Linked DNA regions of Sus scrofa. The protein of the gene in region 1 binds, or shares a complex with, the protein of each later gene. Links are inferred from orthologs where the notes say so. Each region holds a gene or a part of one and is shown in the gene's direction. Other genes may lie near its edges.

Region 1 (5,054 bases):
TAAGAACAAGATGGACGAATCGAAGCACGAAATCCACTCCCAGGTAGACGCCATCACAGCCGGCACCGCCTCGGTGGTGAACCTGACAGCGGGTAGGCCGGGTGCCAGGAGCTTGGTGTGCCGTGCGGGAGGGGAGGGGAGGGCGAGCGTGCGTGAGCATGCACAAGCGTGAGCAAGCGTGACTGCGAGTGGCTCAGGTGTGACTGCAGCATGACTCATGGCAGGGACTGTGTGTGCGTCTATCTCAGGACGTGTGTGTGTGTGTGTGTGTGTGTGTGTGTCTAAGTGACTCTGCAAGTGTGACTGCGAGTGGCTCAGGTGTGATTGCAGCATGACTCATGGCAGGGACTGTGTGTGCGTCTATCTCAGGACGTGTGTGTGTGTGAAACTGACTGTGCTCCTCCCTAGACCGTCGCCTCTCCTGCCCTGCCCCTCACCCGTGCTCCTCTTCCCCCACTCCCCAGGGGACCCCGCCGAGACAGACTACACTGCGGTGGGCTGCGCAGTCACCACAATCTCCTCCAACCTGACGGAGATGTCCCGCGGCGTGAAGCTGCTGGCCGCCCTGCTGGAGGATGAAGGTGGCAGTGGCCGGCCCCTGCTGCAGGCAGCGAAGGGCCTGGCTGGGGCAGTGTCGGAACTGCTGCGCACCGCCCAGCCGGCCAGTGCTGAGGTCAGGGCCAGGGGTGGACACTAGGGAGAGGCGAGGGTTTGAGCCCAAGGAGAGGAGGGCGGTCCAGGTTGTGGGGTGGAAGTACGAGACCCCTGGGCCTGTAGGACCTGAGGACCTGTGGGTGGGGATCGGGCAGCTTCTGACTGGTGTTCACTCTCCACAGCCCCGTCAGAACCTGCTGCAAGCAGCTGGGAACGTGGGCCAGGCCAGTGGGGAGCTGTTGCAGCAAATTGGGGAAAGTGATACTGACCCCCACTTCCAGGTTGGTGACTTACCCAACCCCCAGAACCCCAGTTTCTAGGAGGTGACCTCTGATCCTGAATCCAGCTGCTCGTCCTCAGCTACGATAAATTGACCCCTCGGAGCCAAGCTGAACCTCTGTCTCCAGGGATGACACTGGGAACCTCCCGTCCCTTTTGGGGGGATAAGAATTCCGAACCCCTAAATCCAAACTTAATCTGTAGGTTCACCCTTGGCCTTTACTGGTGATATTTTATTGGCCGCCTGTCATCTTTCCCTGTCTTGCCCAACTGAAGGCATCTCGGACCCCCTCTTCCAATCCGTTAGGCCACATGCCCTGAGGACACTGTTCCTCTCGTGCCCCCTTCCCCACCCCCTGCCAGTGTCCTCAGCTGATTTGTCATCCTGGATTTCCCACGCAGATATGTGCACCCAGAGGGGCTGGGGTTCGATCTCCCCCCGATCCCCCCACGGTAATGGCCTCTGGCCTGGACCTTCCCAGCTCTGTCCTCTCTGAGCCGCATACACTCGCTCTGCCCCCTCCCCAGGCCTCCTGGGGGAGCAGACCGTGACGGGAGCTGGGGAGGCACGGCACAGGCAGGACTTGAGAAAATGGGATCAGGGAGGGTAGAGACTTGCTCCCCGGGGTGACTGCTTCTACCCAAGATTGAGACGAAGCGGAGGAAAGACGCTAGGGGCAGGGGGGACCCCAGAGGTCCCTCCTCCGTCTGTCCCGTTGAAACAGCACTGCCCGCCTGCCCTCCCCATCGCCGTCCGAGTGTATCCGCCTCATGCATCTCTTCCTTTGGTGTAGGCTCTGTTTCTCTCGGTGTGGGTTTGTTCCTCGGTGGGGGTTCTGTCCTACTCGGTGCTCGAGGCAGGGGCTTGGGGTAGGTTCCGGTTGCTTCTGCACATACGGTGCTGTGATTGGAGTCCGTGGGATTAATGAAACCGCTTATGCCTCCAAGGAGGGTCTGTGGAACCCAAGGTGGATCTCAGGCCGTGCTGACCGCTGCTTTCTCACAGGACGTGCTCATGCAACTAGCCAAGGCTGTGGCAAGCGCTGCAGCTGCCCTGGTCCTCAAGGCCAAGAGTGTGGCCCAGCGCACAGAGGACTCGGGGCTTCAGACCCAGGTTATTGCTGCGGCAACACAGTGTGCCCTGTCCACCTCCCAGCTGGTGGCCTGTACCAAGGTGAGCCCCAGAGGTTGCTCCAGCCTGTGCTGAGGGGTGATGCTGTCACACATACGGGAGCCTCTCATGTTATCACTTTGGTCCCCGAGGCCTCACTACCCAAACAAATGACTGTTGTGAAGGCCATCAACACCCCACCCTCCCGACTCCTTGCCCTCGTCTACCTCTCTGACACTCGCTTTGCCCACAGGTGGTGGCACCTACGATCAGCTCCCCTGTCTGCCAAGAACAGCTGGTGGAAGCCGGTCGACTAGTGGCCAAAGCCGTGGAGGGCTGTGTGTCCGCCTCCCAGGCCGCCACAGAAGATGGGCAGCTGTTGCGAGGAGTGGGAGCGGCAGCCACAGCTGTCACCCAGGCCCTGAATGAGCTGTTGCAGCACGTGAGGGCCCACGCCACAGGGGCCGGGCCTGCTGGCCGCTATGACCAGGCCACTGACACCATTCTCACTGTCACTGAGAACATCTTTAGCTCCATGGGCGATGCTGGTAAGGACACTCTCCCCCAGGAGACAGAGAGCCCAACGAGGTTCCCAGGCCCCTTGGACATTTCCCTTGCAGATCCACCCCCCTCCCCCTGACTCAGCACAGCAGGCTGGGTGTTGAACAGCTGAAACCTCCAGCTGGTTCCCCATATGTAAAACAGGAATATAATCTCTCTGCCTTCCTTGGTGCATTTAAATAACAAACCACAGTGTACACAAAAAGAGAAAGTGGCTTTATTAAGAGTTAGCTGCCCTTACGCCACTCCTTCACCCCCAAAATCCTTCACCAAGAGCCTCATCCTCTCATAACTCCAGGGAAGTCACTTCAAGAACTTTTTTGTCTCTCCTGACTATCCCTAAGAGCCCCACTGGCCTCATCTGCACCACGTCCCTCTCTCTAACACCCTCTCAGTGTCTCTGCTCCCTTCTCTGACTTTGCCTGTGTGTCTCAGGTGAGATGGTGCGACAGGCGCGCATCCTGGCCCAAGCCACCTCTGACCTGGTCAATGCCATCAAGGCTGATGCCGAGGGGGAGAGCGATCTGGAGAATTCCCGCAAGCTATTAAGCGCCGCCAAGATCCTGGCCGACGCCACAGCCAAGATGGTGGAGGCTGCCAAGGTAGAGAGCCTTCTGTGCAGACCCCAGACCGGGGCCCGGAGGGAAGTAGAAAGGTCCCGATGGTCACCCCCATTTACGGGAGAGACCCAGGAAAAGCAGAAGATACAAGACAGCACATATGGGAGCACTGAGGGAGTAAATGCACCCTAGGCAGCGGGCGGGTGGCGCCAGGCTGCCAGCCAGTGTAACGCCCAGAGTCCTCACTGACGAACGGGAAACAGTGCCCTTTTCCTTCTGAGTCCAAGGTCTGCACTTCCTACTTTCCCCTACTTTGCTGCCACCACCTGCCTGCTTCCTGGATCCCTCTGCTTCCTGGGCTTCTGTGAATGCACACGAGCATTAGTCCTGGGGGCTCCGCGCTAGCCGCACAGAGAAGGACAAGGCAGTCGGACACAGGGACACAAGGTTGCAGAGGACCATGAGGAAGAAGCCAAAAGATTCCTGGGCTCTGGGGCTCTTCAGTTTGCAGGAACAACCAGGGCCCCTGCTATCGGACCCTTGAGATCCCTGCTCTAAACTGTGTCCTCCTTGTTCCAGAGAGCCCTGCTCATCCCCGTTTGCAGTAGTATTTTGTGGGGAGTGAGGAAGAAATCTGGCCCCTTCCCTAAAGCGGGGAAGCACAAACAGTTCTACCTGAGGAAGGGCTTTCAGCATCACAGATGGAAGCCAGGGTCCCCCCGAGGCTCCCCATCTGCCCACCAGAGGCAGCCCATCTCAACCACCTTTCAGCGGGGATAGTTAGAAATGATTTCAGGAAAATATACTTGAGTTTGGAGGGGTCAGAGAAGAGCTTATTGAGGATCCACAGAGATGCTGGGCGTAACTGTCCCTCCCACCACCTCTCAGGGAGCAGCCGCCCATCCTGACAGTGAGGAGCAGCAGCAGCGCCTTCGCGAAGCAGCTGAAGGTCTCCGCATGGCGACCAACGTGGCTGCACAGAATGCCATCAAGAAGAAGCTGGTGCAGCGCCTGGAGGTGAGGCTGGAAAACAGGCTAGTGTAGGTGCTGTAGGAGGAATGAACCTGGGAGGGATGTGTGGAGAAAGGGTTAATATTTCCTTGGGGGAGGGAGTTCCCGTCATGGCGCAGCGGAAATGAATCTGATGAGGAACCATGAGGTTGCAGGTTCAACCCCTGGCCTCACTCAGTGGGTTAAGGATCCGGCATTGCCGTGAGCTGTGGTGTAGGTCGCAGACATGGCTCAGATCTGGTGTCGCTGTGGCTCTGGCGTAGGCTGGCAGCTGTAGCTCCGATTAGACCCCTAGCTTGGGAATCTCCATGTGCCGCGAGGGCAGCCCTAAAAAGCAAAAAAAAAAAAAAAGAAAATTTCCTTAGGGGATATCGTGGGCAGGGTAAGCCAAGGATCAGGTATGGGAATGTCTGGGCCTTGTCCTCACTATTCTGCCCTTAAAGCACGCAGCCAAGCAGGCTGCAGCCTCGGCTACACAGACCATCGCTGCCGCCCAACATGCTGCCTCCACCCCCAAGACCACAGCTGGCCCCCAGCCACTGCTGGTGCAGAGCTGCAAGGTGAGATGCCAGGAAGCATGCGGGGGCGGGAGGCGGCCTGTGGGGAGGGGGAAGTCCCCCCGCCTGTGGGGAAGTGGCTCTCATAACCTTTTCACCAACAGGCTGTGGCAGAGCAGATTCCACTGCTGGTGCAGGGCGTCCGAGGGAGCCAAGCCCAGCCCGACAGTCCCAGCGCTCAGCTCGCCCTCATTGCCGCCAGCCAGAGCTTCCTGCAGGCAAGGCACCCTCCGCTCACCACTCACCAGACCCTTCCCACTCTCTCCTCCAAGAGCTCTGATGTAGTCAAGTTAAATCTCAGCCATAGTCTCTCTTCCAATA
Region 2 (5,054 bases), on another chromosome or scaffold:
CATCCAGGGCAATTGTGCCTTCAGGCACAGTTGGATCCAGGAGCTGGACCAAGGGCAGCAGAGCTTTGTGGGTGTCTCCTTGCTTTTCTCTGTGGGTTGGAAAGGTAGTCTGTCTTCCCACACTGATGTACCAGTAGTATTCATTTGGGTTTTGGGGGTTCAGGACATTCTCATGTGGTTCAGCAGGTTAAAGGATCCAGCATTGCTGCAGCTGTGGTGCGGGTTGCATCTTGCATGCAGGTTTGATCCCTGGCCCAGGAACTTCCACATGCCACAGGTGTGGCTGAAAAAGGGGATTTGGGGAGGGTCAGAGGACAGAAAATTTGATCTAGACAGCCTTAACCCCCAAAAGTACTTCATTGACTCAGCCGAAGAAGCCTGCAGGCCTTGCTTTTCACTCATTTGCTTAACAAATTGAGCCAGACACTGGAATATGTGCTGGGGACCCCTCTTGTTAATGTGAACAAAATCGCTGTCTAATGGTGGGCAGTAAACACGGAGGTGGAACCTGGGTGTTGGGGATGCGAAGGTGGGAAGAGAGGTGGGAGGGTCTGGGGGAGGCAGCTCACCAGATGCACAGCTTGTGTCTTTGTGTCTTTGCTGTTCCTGGTGGCTGGCTTCCATCCCCAAGGTCACCATGTGGTCCAGTATGGTTGCTGGGTCCCAGGTAGCATTCCAGGTGGGAAGGAGAGAGGGGTGCAAACAGGAGGCGCCCCAGCTTCTGCCACCCCTTTAGGCAACCTTCCCCAGACCCCGAGTAGCAGCTTGTGTTTATGACTCACTGGCCAGAGCAGGGGCCTGGGAGGCAGTCACAGCTCACAGGACAGGGAACACGATCTAGCAGGTTGGCACTCGGGCTGCAGGGTTAGCCCGGGTTTGAGTCCTTGCGTGTGGCCTTGGACAAGTCTGTCCCCCTCGATGAGCCTCAGCATCCTCATCTGTAAAACAGAGCCGCGGTGACCACTTCCAGGGTTGTCCTCCATCCCCTGGGCCCCTGGGGGTGTCGATGACCCACCCCGCCTCCTCACTGCCCCCGTTTTCAGTACTCGCTGTGCAATGAGCCACTCATCGAGCTGTCCAACCCTGGTGCCAGCGGCTCCCTCTTCTATGTCACCAGCGACGATGAGTTCATCATCAAGACTGTGATGCATAAGGAGGCTGAGTTCCTGCAAAAGCTGCTGCCTGGATACTACATGGTAGGGGCATGACCCCCCACAGGTCTCACACCCCTTCTCCCTCTGCCCAGGCAGCCAGCCTGGGCCACCACCCACTCTGGGCACCAACCCCTCTGGGTGACACCCCCTCGGGGTGACACCCCCTCTGGGTAACGCCCCCTCTGGGCAGGCCAAGACATGCCTTCCTGGGTCATAGCCTCACCCAAGGGGCCCCCTCCATGGTGAGCAGGAGTAGCCATCTGGGTCCTGGTGGCCATCCATCACCACCCAGTCCCTTGACTTGTGGGTCCCCAAAATCATGGCTTTGGGACTCATATCTTGGCAGCTGGTGACTCAGAGAGACACTGGGGAGGTGGGCAGGGGTGCCTGCCAGCTGGCACCTCCTGTCTGCATGTGACTCACCAACAGAAAGGGCACTCTGCACTTAGGGCCCTGGGCGGGGGCGGGAGCAGGGGCCTCAGACTTCTTGGCCCCCAGCGGTGGGGGGCTGATACAACGGATGGGGTGGGGGCCTCCCACTGAGCCTAGCCTGGTGGGCATGGGGTCCGGCCCCCAGCATTCTGCACCCGTATCTCCTGTGGGGTCTCCACCTACCCCTGCCATGTGTGATCCCAGGTAGGACCCCTGGCTGTCCTAGACTGAGGGTCGGCAAACTTCTTTCGTAAAGATCCAGGTAGGAAGCATCCTCAGCATTGTGAGCTTTGTGAGACTGTGTCCACTGCTCTGCCGTCGCAGTGGGGAAGCTGCCACAGACAAGGCGAGAGTGAGTGGGTGTGGCCGAGGGCCAATAAAAGTGTATTTGTGGGCACTGATGTGAGCATTTTGTATAATTTTCACATCATAGGACGCTATTTTTCTTCAGTGTTATTGGCCTTTTTTTAAAAAAAAATATGTGTGTATATGTATATATATATATATATATATATATATTTTTTTTTTTTTTTTTTTTTTAGAATATAAAACCTTTCTTAACTCCCAGCTGTAGAAAGACAAGTGGCCTGGATTTGGCCCTTGGGCCAGAGTTTGCTGACGCATGCCCTGCATATGCCTGGATGCAGTACCTCCCTCTCCGGTCCCTGTAGAGCAGGCTAGGGAGATGGGACACCTGCGTCCAACCTGCTGGGAAGCCAAGCCCAGATACCTTGGGAGTGTCCCGTGGGGCCCTTTATCAAAAGGCCGTCTCTCCTTAGGCCTGACTTTAGAAACAGACCTTCCTGATGCCTCCAGTCAGATGGGGAGATGGAGAGTGCGGCCAGCAGACAGAACCTGCGGACAGATGGGGCACTCGGGGCACTGAGAGGGGCCAGCCTGGGGGAGGTGGTTAGGGGGTGCTTCTTGAGACGTGAGGGGCGGACGGGGTGCTGCACAGGATGCAGGAGCGGCTCCCAGCGTCATCTCCTCCACCCTCTGCCCCCTGCCCTGTCTCCCCAGAACCTCAACCAGAACCCGAGGACGCTGCTGCCCAAGTTCTACGGGCTGTACTGCGTGCAGTCGGGTGGCAAGAACATCCGCGTGGTGGTGATGAACAACGTGCTGCCACGCGTGGTCAAGATGCACCTCAAGTTCGACCTCAAGGGCTCCACATACAAGCGGCGGGCCAGCAAGAAGGAGAAGGAGAAGAGCATCCCCACCTACAAGGACCTGGACTTTATCCAGGATATGCCCGAGGGGCTCATGCTCGACGCTGACACTTTCTCCGCCCTGGTCAAGACGCTGCAGCGCGACTGCCTGGTGAGGAGAAGGCTGGATCGCTGGGGATGTGTCCCTCCATCTCTGAGTCACAGTTTTCCCACCTGTCAAACGGGGACTCTAGGAGTTCCCATCGTGGCACAGTGGAAACGTATCTGACTAGGAACCATGAGGTTGCAGGTTTGATCCCTGGCCTCGCTCAGTGGGTTAAGGATCCGGCATTGCCGTGAGCTGTGGTGTAGGTCACAGATGCATCTCGGGTCTGGCGTTGCCATGGCTCTGGCGTAAGCCAGTGGCTATAGCTCCGATTAGACCCCTAGCCTGGGAACCTCCACATGCCACGGGTGTGGCCCTAAAAAAAAAAAGACAAAAGACCAAATAAAAGGTGGGGGGAGACTCTAGTAAAAGCTGGTGCAGTGTGAGCCCGAGATCCACAACCCCCACCCCGCCCCAGCCCCACCGCAGGCCAAGTTCCTGCTGCAGGCGTCAGAGCCTCAGAAGCAGCCCAGTGTTTTCAGGCTCTTGATGTAAAGTGCACCTCAGACGCAGGCCCAAGCGGGCTGCAGGCCACCCCTCCATGGCCAGCTGCTTTTTAGGGAAAAAGAGCGTGTGCCAGGTTGGTCACAGGCCTTGCGACCTCAGTCCACCCCTACCCGCCTTGGCCTTAGAGGTGAGGAAATGAAGGAGGCCAGGGGTGCAGTCCTGTGCTGCACCCCTGGCTCCCAGACCCCTTTGGAAACTTGACACAAACTCCCCAGACATCTCAGGGGCCCCCAGCTTCTTGGAGTCCCTCCTCAGAGCTCCGGTGTCTGTGTGTCTGGGCTGCACCTCAGGGCTTGGAGAGGCTTGGTGGCCGGAGGGCTGGTGGGGGTTGTATGTGTGCAGGGCCAGCCCAGAGGCAGCCTGGCTTTGGGTCAGAAGCCACACCCCAGGCCCACCCACCAGGTTCCACTGACCCTCTGTGTCCTCTCGGTTGCCTGGTCTGAGACCAGGACGGGGCCTCCCGGTGAGGCTGTGGGGACTGAGCAGACACAGACCAGGAATGCGCTTGGGGTTGGCGCCAGGCCGGGGTGGGGTGTGGGGTCAGAGCATCCCCCTGACCGCTGCCCCGTAGGTGCTGGAGAGCTTCAAGATCATGGACTACAGCCTGCTTCTGGGCGTGCACAACATCGACCAGCAGGAGCGGGAGCGGCAGGCTGAAGGCGCCCAGAGCACCGCCGATGAGAAGCGGCCGCTGGGCCAGAAGGCGCTCTACTCCACGGCCATGGAGTCCATCCAGGGCGGGGCGGCACGTGGGGAGGCCATCGAGACAGACGACACGTAGGTGGTGGGGACCGGGAGACTTCCCGCTCTCGTCTCCGCCCTTGCTCCCTCGCCAGGCGACAGAGGGAGGGGCGAGTTGGTGAGAAGGCGAGAGGGACGAGACCGAGTCCCGGAGCCCCTCGAGTGGGTTCTTGGTTGTAAACCAGACAGTAGCCCCCACCCCGCCCCGTTCCAGGTCCAAGGGTTGGACGGGGGACACACAGCTGCAGCCAGAAGTTCTAACCGTGGCGTCTGGATTACTCAGTGGAAAAGGTCGTTGACCATCCCTGTGGGAAACACAGATAGCCCTCCCTCCCTGGGGACCCAGCATCGGTTAAAGCACCGCCTTCAGAAGCTGAACTGGAGAGGTGTTGAAAGAGGGCTGGGGAAAAGGTGGAAACAGCCCTGGTGAGGGAGCCTTTTCATGGCAGGATAGTGAACCCAGCGCCCCCTAGGGGCAGGGCTGAGAATGTCCCTTTCCCAAAGATGATGATGACAATGTGGCTCTGAGGGGTGACCAGGGCACAGTGTTCAGAGAGGCACATGTCCCCCAGCCCCACCCACCCAGCTGACCTGGTCCTGCTCTGGGGACTTGCAGAGTTCCCATCTGGGTACAGGGTACCCCCTCTTCCCCAGCTGCTCACTTGTAGGAATGAGTCCCTTTCTGGGGGCAGTCCAGGCGCCATGGGGGGTAGAGCAGCATTCCTGGCCCCCACCCACTCGATGCCAGGAGCCCCCAAGTTGTGACAACCCCAGAGGTCCCCCAGACATTATCAGTGTCCCCTGGGAGCAGAGTCTCCCCAGGTGGAAACTGTTGCAGTAAACAGATATCCAGATTGTCCCCTTATCGCCACAGACTGACCGTGCTGGGACCCAGCTGGGCCCCCC
Region 3 (5,054 bases), on another chromosome or scaffold:
GGGTTACATGAAATGGGACTCAACTGCAGTTAAGCAAGAGCGAAGTATTTATTATAAAGATACACGCTGCTTCTGGGCTGCGGGACGAACAAGTGCTAGAAAGATGTCAGGAAGGCAGGCAGTCAGCACTTCTTTGGTTCTCTTGGTTTTCTGTCTCCCTCACCAGAATACAGAGTCTTTGAAGTCTAGACAAGGGCTTTGCTTACTCTGTGTTTATTTCCATTTTTGCAAATTGGTTTCTCTACATCCATATTCGTAGCACCTTACACAAGTGCTTGTCATATGAGTGAATTCATACTGGATGCGTTTGCGGGACACCTTCTTACTTAAATTCACAAAGGCAGTGTCATTTTTGAAAGCTTAACCTTCATGGATAGCCTTTCCAGTTGCTGGCATTTACTGGCTTCCCTATGACTTTGCCCTCAGCTCGTTGTCAAGGTACACATGAATGATAACAGCACAAAGTCGCTGATGGTGGATGAGCGGCAATTAGCCCGAGATGTCCTAGACAACCTTTTTGAGAAAACCCACTGCGACTGCAACGTGGATTGGTGCCTTTATGAAATATACCCAGAACTACAGATCGGTAAGTCCCATTCCCAGCGATAGGCTGCACCCCCACACACTCCCACCCCACCCCCGCACAAACCTGTGACTTTACTCTGGGTTTTGGTCTGTTCCTGAGAAGAGTTTGGTTCAAGGCTATCCAGATTGCCCACACAATCACTTTCCTTATGTCAGGTTCAGTGCTTGTCTCTTCATTTGTGGTGAAGAGACTCAGATTGGAACAGGTGGCCAGCCAGACCTTGGGGAATGTAAGTGTTACTGCTGCAACTGCCCTGGTGGATGCAAAGGGAAAGAAAGTGGCAGGATGATGCTTCTGACTGCATGCTTAGCAAGCTGAGCAGATGGGTGGGGGCCTGCGTATCTGTCAGCCAATGCCTCTTTAGAGTTTGCTTTTTTAAACTATAGGGTCAGTCTGCCATGGGTGTCATATCACTGTCCATTTCCTCTCCCCACTCACTCAATTTCTGATCCCTTCTAGTGGAAAAGCCTCAGCCCCCATAAAACAAAAGACAGTTGATAGAAATTGATGGAGTTAAAAGAAAAAGTTAAACAGAAATAGACTCACAGACACAGAAAACAAACTTATAGTTACCAAAGGGGAAAAGGGGGGGAGACTAAATTTGGAATTTGGAATTAAGAAATATACACTACCATATATAACATAGATGAACAGCAAGGACCTACTAGATAGCACAGGAAACTGTATTCCATATCTTATAATAACCTATAATGGAGAAGAATCTGAAAAAGTACATATATATGTATGACTGAGTCATTTTGCTATACACCTGAAACATTGTAAATCAGCAATACTTCAATAAACAAAATAAAAAATTGGAGTTCCCACTGTGGCACAGTGGATTAAGGATCTGGTATTGCTGCAGCTGTGGTGTAGGTTGCAGGTGCAGCGTGGATTCAGTCCCTGGCCCAGGAACTTCCATGTGCCATGGATGCAGCCAAAATTAATTAATTAAAAAATTTGAAAAAGTTACCCCCCAAAAATCCTTGAAATAAAGGAATATCTGAAAAGAAATGAATTATAAAAATACTGTTTTAATGCTCATTCTTTTTTTTTTTTAGAGCTGCACCCTCAGCATAGAGAAGTTCCCAGGCCAGGAGTCCAATCAGTGCTACAGATGCTGTGTGCTGTGCCACAGCCACAGCAACCCAGGATCCGAGCCACATCTGCAACCTACACCACAGCTCACGGCAATGCCAGATCCTTAACCCACTGAGCAAGGCCAGGGATCGAACCCACATCCTCATGGATACTGGTCGGATTCATTTCCATGGCGCCACAGTGGAACTCCTTGCTGCTCGTTCTTAATACCACTCACAGAAAAATCTGTCCCCACCCCCCACCCCCCACCGGGGGAGCTTGTTGGATACAGAATTGCCAGTTTTTAAAGCTGTGGGGGAAATGGTCTACACTGAAACACTTCTTGACGTTTTCAACTCCCTGACTCAAACGGAAATGAAAGCCCTCTAAAGGAAGGTTTAGCGTTGATTCCAACAGTTGTGCATTCTTTTTAGAGTTTTAGGGATCGGTATTTATAGTACTCATCACTTATCTGGCAATTTCGTTCATAGTTATCTGACTAATTATTGCCTCTCTGCCTTCCAGATAGAATGTTACCTCCACCTGGGACTATTTCAAATAGTCAAAGGTTCTAATATGGAGTTCCCTTCCTGGCTCAGCAGTAACAAACCTGACTAGTATCCATGAGGACACAGGCTCTATCCCTGGCCTCACTCAGTGGGTTAAGGATCTGGCATGGCCATGGCTGTGGGGTAGGCCTGGCAGTTGTGGCTCTGATACGCCCCCTACCCTGGGCACTTCCATATGCTGCAGGTGCAGCCCTTAAAAAGAAAAAAAGTTCTAATATGGAAAAAAGAGCAGTGGCTGACCATTTTCAGTATATTGTAGGTTCAACTGCCATGTTTTCTATGGAAAATAAGTTGAAGACCTGAGACCAAAGAATAAACATAAGAGAAACATTACAATGTAACATCATGTAAGACTGAGGAATTTCTGAGAACCCAGGAGAAGTATGAAGCCTTGTGTTAGCTAAGTACCAGCTTATTTCTCTGTTAGAAACTCTGATGTCTTGGGTCTGAAAGAATGCTTTTTCTTGTTTCATCAGAAAGGTTTTTTGAAGACCATGAAAATGTTGTTGAAGTCTTATCAAACTGGACAAGAGACACAGAAAATAAAGTGCTGTTTTTGGAAAAAGAGGAAAAATATGCTGTATTTAAAAACCCCCAGGTAAGAGAACTCATATATTGTTAAAACATGTAAAATATCCATTTTTTTAATGTCACCTGTGTCCTCACCACATCTCACGAAATATCACAAATACATTCCTTTCACAGAAACACAAACTCAGTTCTTAGGCCAGAGGCAAACTAGGAACCCCTTTGAGAGAGAATCATTTCACCTCTTTTGAGTCAGCTTCCAGAATCCACCTCTCCGTTGACTGATCCTCCTCTCTTGTCCTTATATCTGTTTGGCTGCAATGTCTGCTGATGCACTCTGAGCCATTAACACTCTTATTTTAAACCTACCCTTTCCTTTGTTGTTCATATTTGGTGCTTATTGATGTTGGGATATGTAAAGAGAGTGCCCAGAAGATGTACGGCTCTACACACAGTCTACAAAGGAAAAAGCCTTGTTCTCCATATTTGAAAAAGCTTCCTCAAGCCCTGCATACAAGGGTGTCCCAGACTTGCCCCGTGGTTGTCCCCAGCCAATGGTAATTGTGCACGGTGGGCAGCGAAGTTTAGTCGGAGAATGTTACCTCCTAGCACTCACCTAGGAAATTGGTTAGAGTTAACTAGGTGAAGAGTGGATTGGAATCGAGCCTTCCAGGAGGGGGTGTGTGCCGAGTCCAAGAGGAAAGAGGGGAGTTCCTTTAGGTCCTGGGTAGTTGTACAGCTGGACCATGGGGGCGGGAAGACAGGGAGTGACAACACGTTCAGATAAACTGGTGGAAAGAAATTGATTTGAAATAGTATATTGGTTAAAATTAAAAAAATGAAAAAAAACCAGGTCAAAAATGAATGTTTCCAGTCATGAGTTCATGCAGTCATGACTGCATGAGATTTATTTAAAATATATTTTCTGGCTGCTTGCTCAGTTTCTGACATTTTGTTATTTTAAAAAACTCCAGGCTCAGGAGTTCCCTTCATGGCTCAGCAATTAACGAACCTGACTAGGATCCATGAGGACACAGGTTCGAACCCTGGCCTCACTCAGCAGACTAAGGATCCGGTGTTGCCGTGAGCTGTGGTGTAGGTCACAGACACAGCTCGGATCTCGTGTCTCTGTGGCTGTGGTTTAGACTGACAGCTGTAGCTCCGATTTGACCCCCAGCCTGGGAAACTTCCATATGCCATGGGTGCAGCCCCCCCCCCAAAAAAAAGCAAAAATAATAATAATAAATAAATAATGAAAAATTTTAAAATCCGGGCTCAATCACCTGTGCTTACTTTGCCTGTATAGTTGTATTCTATTCTAAATTTCTTTTCTATAACGCTGCATTTTCTTGCCACCATTGGATTCAGCTTTGTGGTCATGATTGAGCTTGTTGCATGGAGTCTGCCCCACTCCTTGTGGGTGGAAAAGCTGAAGTCTAAGGTTCATTCTTGCAGAAAAATGATTTATCGAAATGCAAATGGTGAGTGAAATGCCATTCGCGGAAGGTTATGGTTTGATGGAAAATTCTGAAGCCACTAATCGCAGCCGAGGGTGGTGTTCACTGTATTCAGCCTGTGATGTGTTGTGTTTGTTTCCACCATCCCAGTGTGAGTCAGAGCTGGCGGAGGCCTGACCCCACTTAGGACGCATGGATGCTGGAACAGGTCCTGGTCTTCCTGGCTGGCCGCCGTGGCCTTAGGCCATTGGTTTACGCTCTCTTCACTCCCCAGTCCTTCACCACAAGCCCCAAAACTTTAGGAACAGATGCCAAGCAAGCCTAATTGGCTAAGAACAATATAGAGATAAAATGATAAACCTTGAAAAAATGCTGACAAATGGCCCAAAAGACTTAAAGAAGCATAAAAACTAAGCACTCCTAAATACTGAGTGCATCTGAATCCCTAAGACCTGAAAAATAAGTGCCAGGGGACATTTTGAACCAATGCGTTGTTTCTTTAGGAGTCGAGCGTTGGTGGTATAGTGGTTAGCATAGCTGCCTTCCAGAAGTCGTTAGCAGCACTCCTCGGCCAAGAACCAGGGGAAGGACTTGTAGAGAGAAGGTACAGAAGCCAAGAAAGGAAATTATTTGATTGACTAGAGCTTAAAGCCTAGTCGCGATTGACTACTTGTGATTGGGCGACCTTAGGTTTCAATTTTGTAACCCTCCAGGCTCACATTTTGGTTTGCTTATGTCAACTGCCCCGATGTTAGGGCCCCCTCAGTCCAGTGGTCTCCTTGTTTAATTAATTTGGCAGAAGTTATCTAGAAGTTCCCATTGTGGCTCAGAAGG

The links.
Region 2: the proteins of TLN1 (region 1) and PIP5K1C are in contact, whole or in part, in a crystal structure (PDB 1Y19), measured with the Mus musculus proteins. The link is inferred for Sus scrofa from reciprocal best matches to the Homo sapiens genes TLN1 and PIP5K1C. Residues at the interface, in NP_035732.2 of Mus musculus: Pro209, Val210, Gln211, Leu212, Leu214; in NP_032870.2 of Mus musculus: Pro646, Leu647, His648, Tyr649, Ser650, Ala651.
Region 3: the proteins of TLN1 (region 1) and APBB1IP are in contact, whole or in part, in a crystal structure (PDB 4W8P), measured with the Mus musculus proteins. The link is inferred for Sus scrofa from reciprocal best matches to the Homo sapiens genes TLN1 and APBB1IP. Residues at the interface, in NP_035732.2 of Mus musculus: Leu1492, Ala1495, Thr1496, Val1498, Ala1499, Thr1502, Ser1503, Cys1506, Asn1507, Arg1510, Val1526, Ala1529, Lys1530, Ala1533, Asn1534, Thr1536, Ala1537, Val1540, Ile1543, Lys1544, Asp1547; in NP_062329.2 of Mus musculus: Asn5, Ile8, Asp9, Met11, Phe12, Thr14, Leu15, Glu18, Met19, Leu21, Leu22, Ser25.

The regions. Positions count from the first base shown.
Region 1 is NC_010443.5:236,433,073-236,438,126, reverse strand, and holds part of TLN1 (talin-1), read left to right. Parts: coding exon 1-92; intron 93-464; coding exon 465-673; intron 674-836; coding exon 837-935; intron 936-1,335; coding exon of another isoform or gene 1,336-1,386; intron 1,387-1,939; coding exon 1,940-2,107; intron 2,108-2,297; coding exon 2,298-2,592; intron 2,593-3,040; coding exon 3,041-3,207; intron 3,208-4,053; coding exon 4,054-4,182; intron 4,183-4,619; coding exon 4,620-4,736; intron 4,737-4,837; coding exon 4,838-4,951; intron 4,952-5,054. UniProt on the Homo sapiens protein: High molecular weight cytoskeletal protein concentrated at regions of cell-matrix and cell-cell contacts. Involved in connections of major cytoskeletal structures to the plasma membrane.
Region 2 is NC_010444.4:75,017,765-75,022,818, forward strand, and holds part of PIP5K1C (phosphatidylinositol 4-phosphate 5-kinase type-1 gamma), read left to right. Parts: intron 1-1,043; coding exon 1,044-1,196; intron 1,197-2,606; coding exon 2,607-2,906; intron 2,907-3,978; coding exon 3,979-4,184; intron 4,185-5,054. UniProt on the Homo sapiens protein: Catalyzes the phosphorylation of phosphatidylinositol 4-phosphate (PtdIns(4)P/PI4P) to form phosphatidylinositol 4,5-bisphosphate (PtdIns(4,5)P2/PIP2), a lipid second messenger that regulates several cellular processes such as signal transduction, vesicle trafficking, actin cytoskeleton dynamics, cell adhesion, and cell motility.
Region 3 is NC_010452.4:49,168,751-49,173,804, reverse strand, and holds part of APBB1IP (amyloid beta A4 precursor protein-binding family B member 1-interacting protein), read left to right. Parts: intron 1-426; coding exon 427-586; intron 587-2,711; coding exon 2,712-2,833; intron 2,834-5,054. UniProt on the Homo sapiens protein: Appears to function in the signal transduction from Ras activation to actin cytoskeletal remodeling. Suppresses insulin-induced promoter activities through AP1 and SRE. Mediates Rap1-induced adhesion.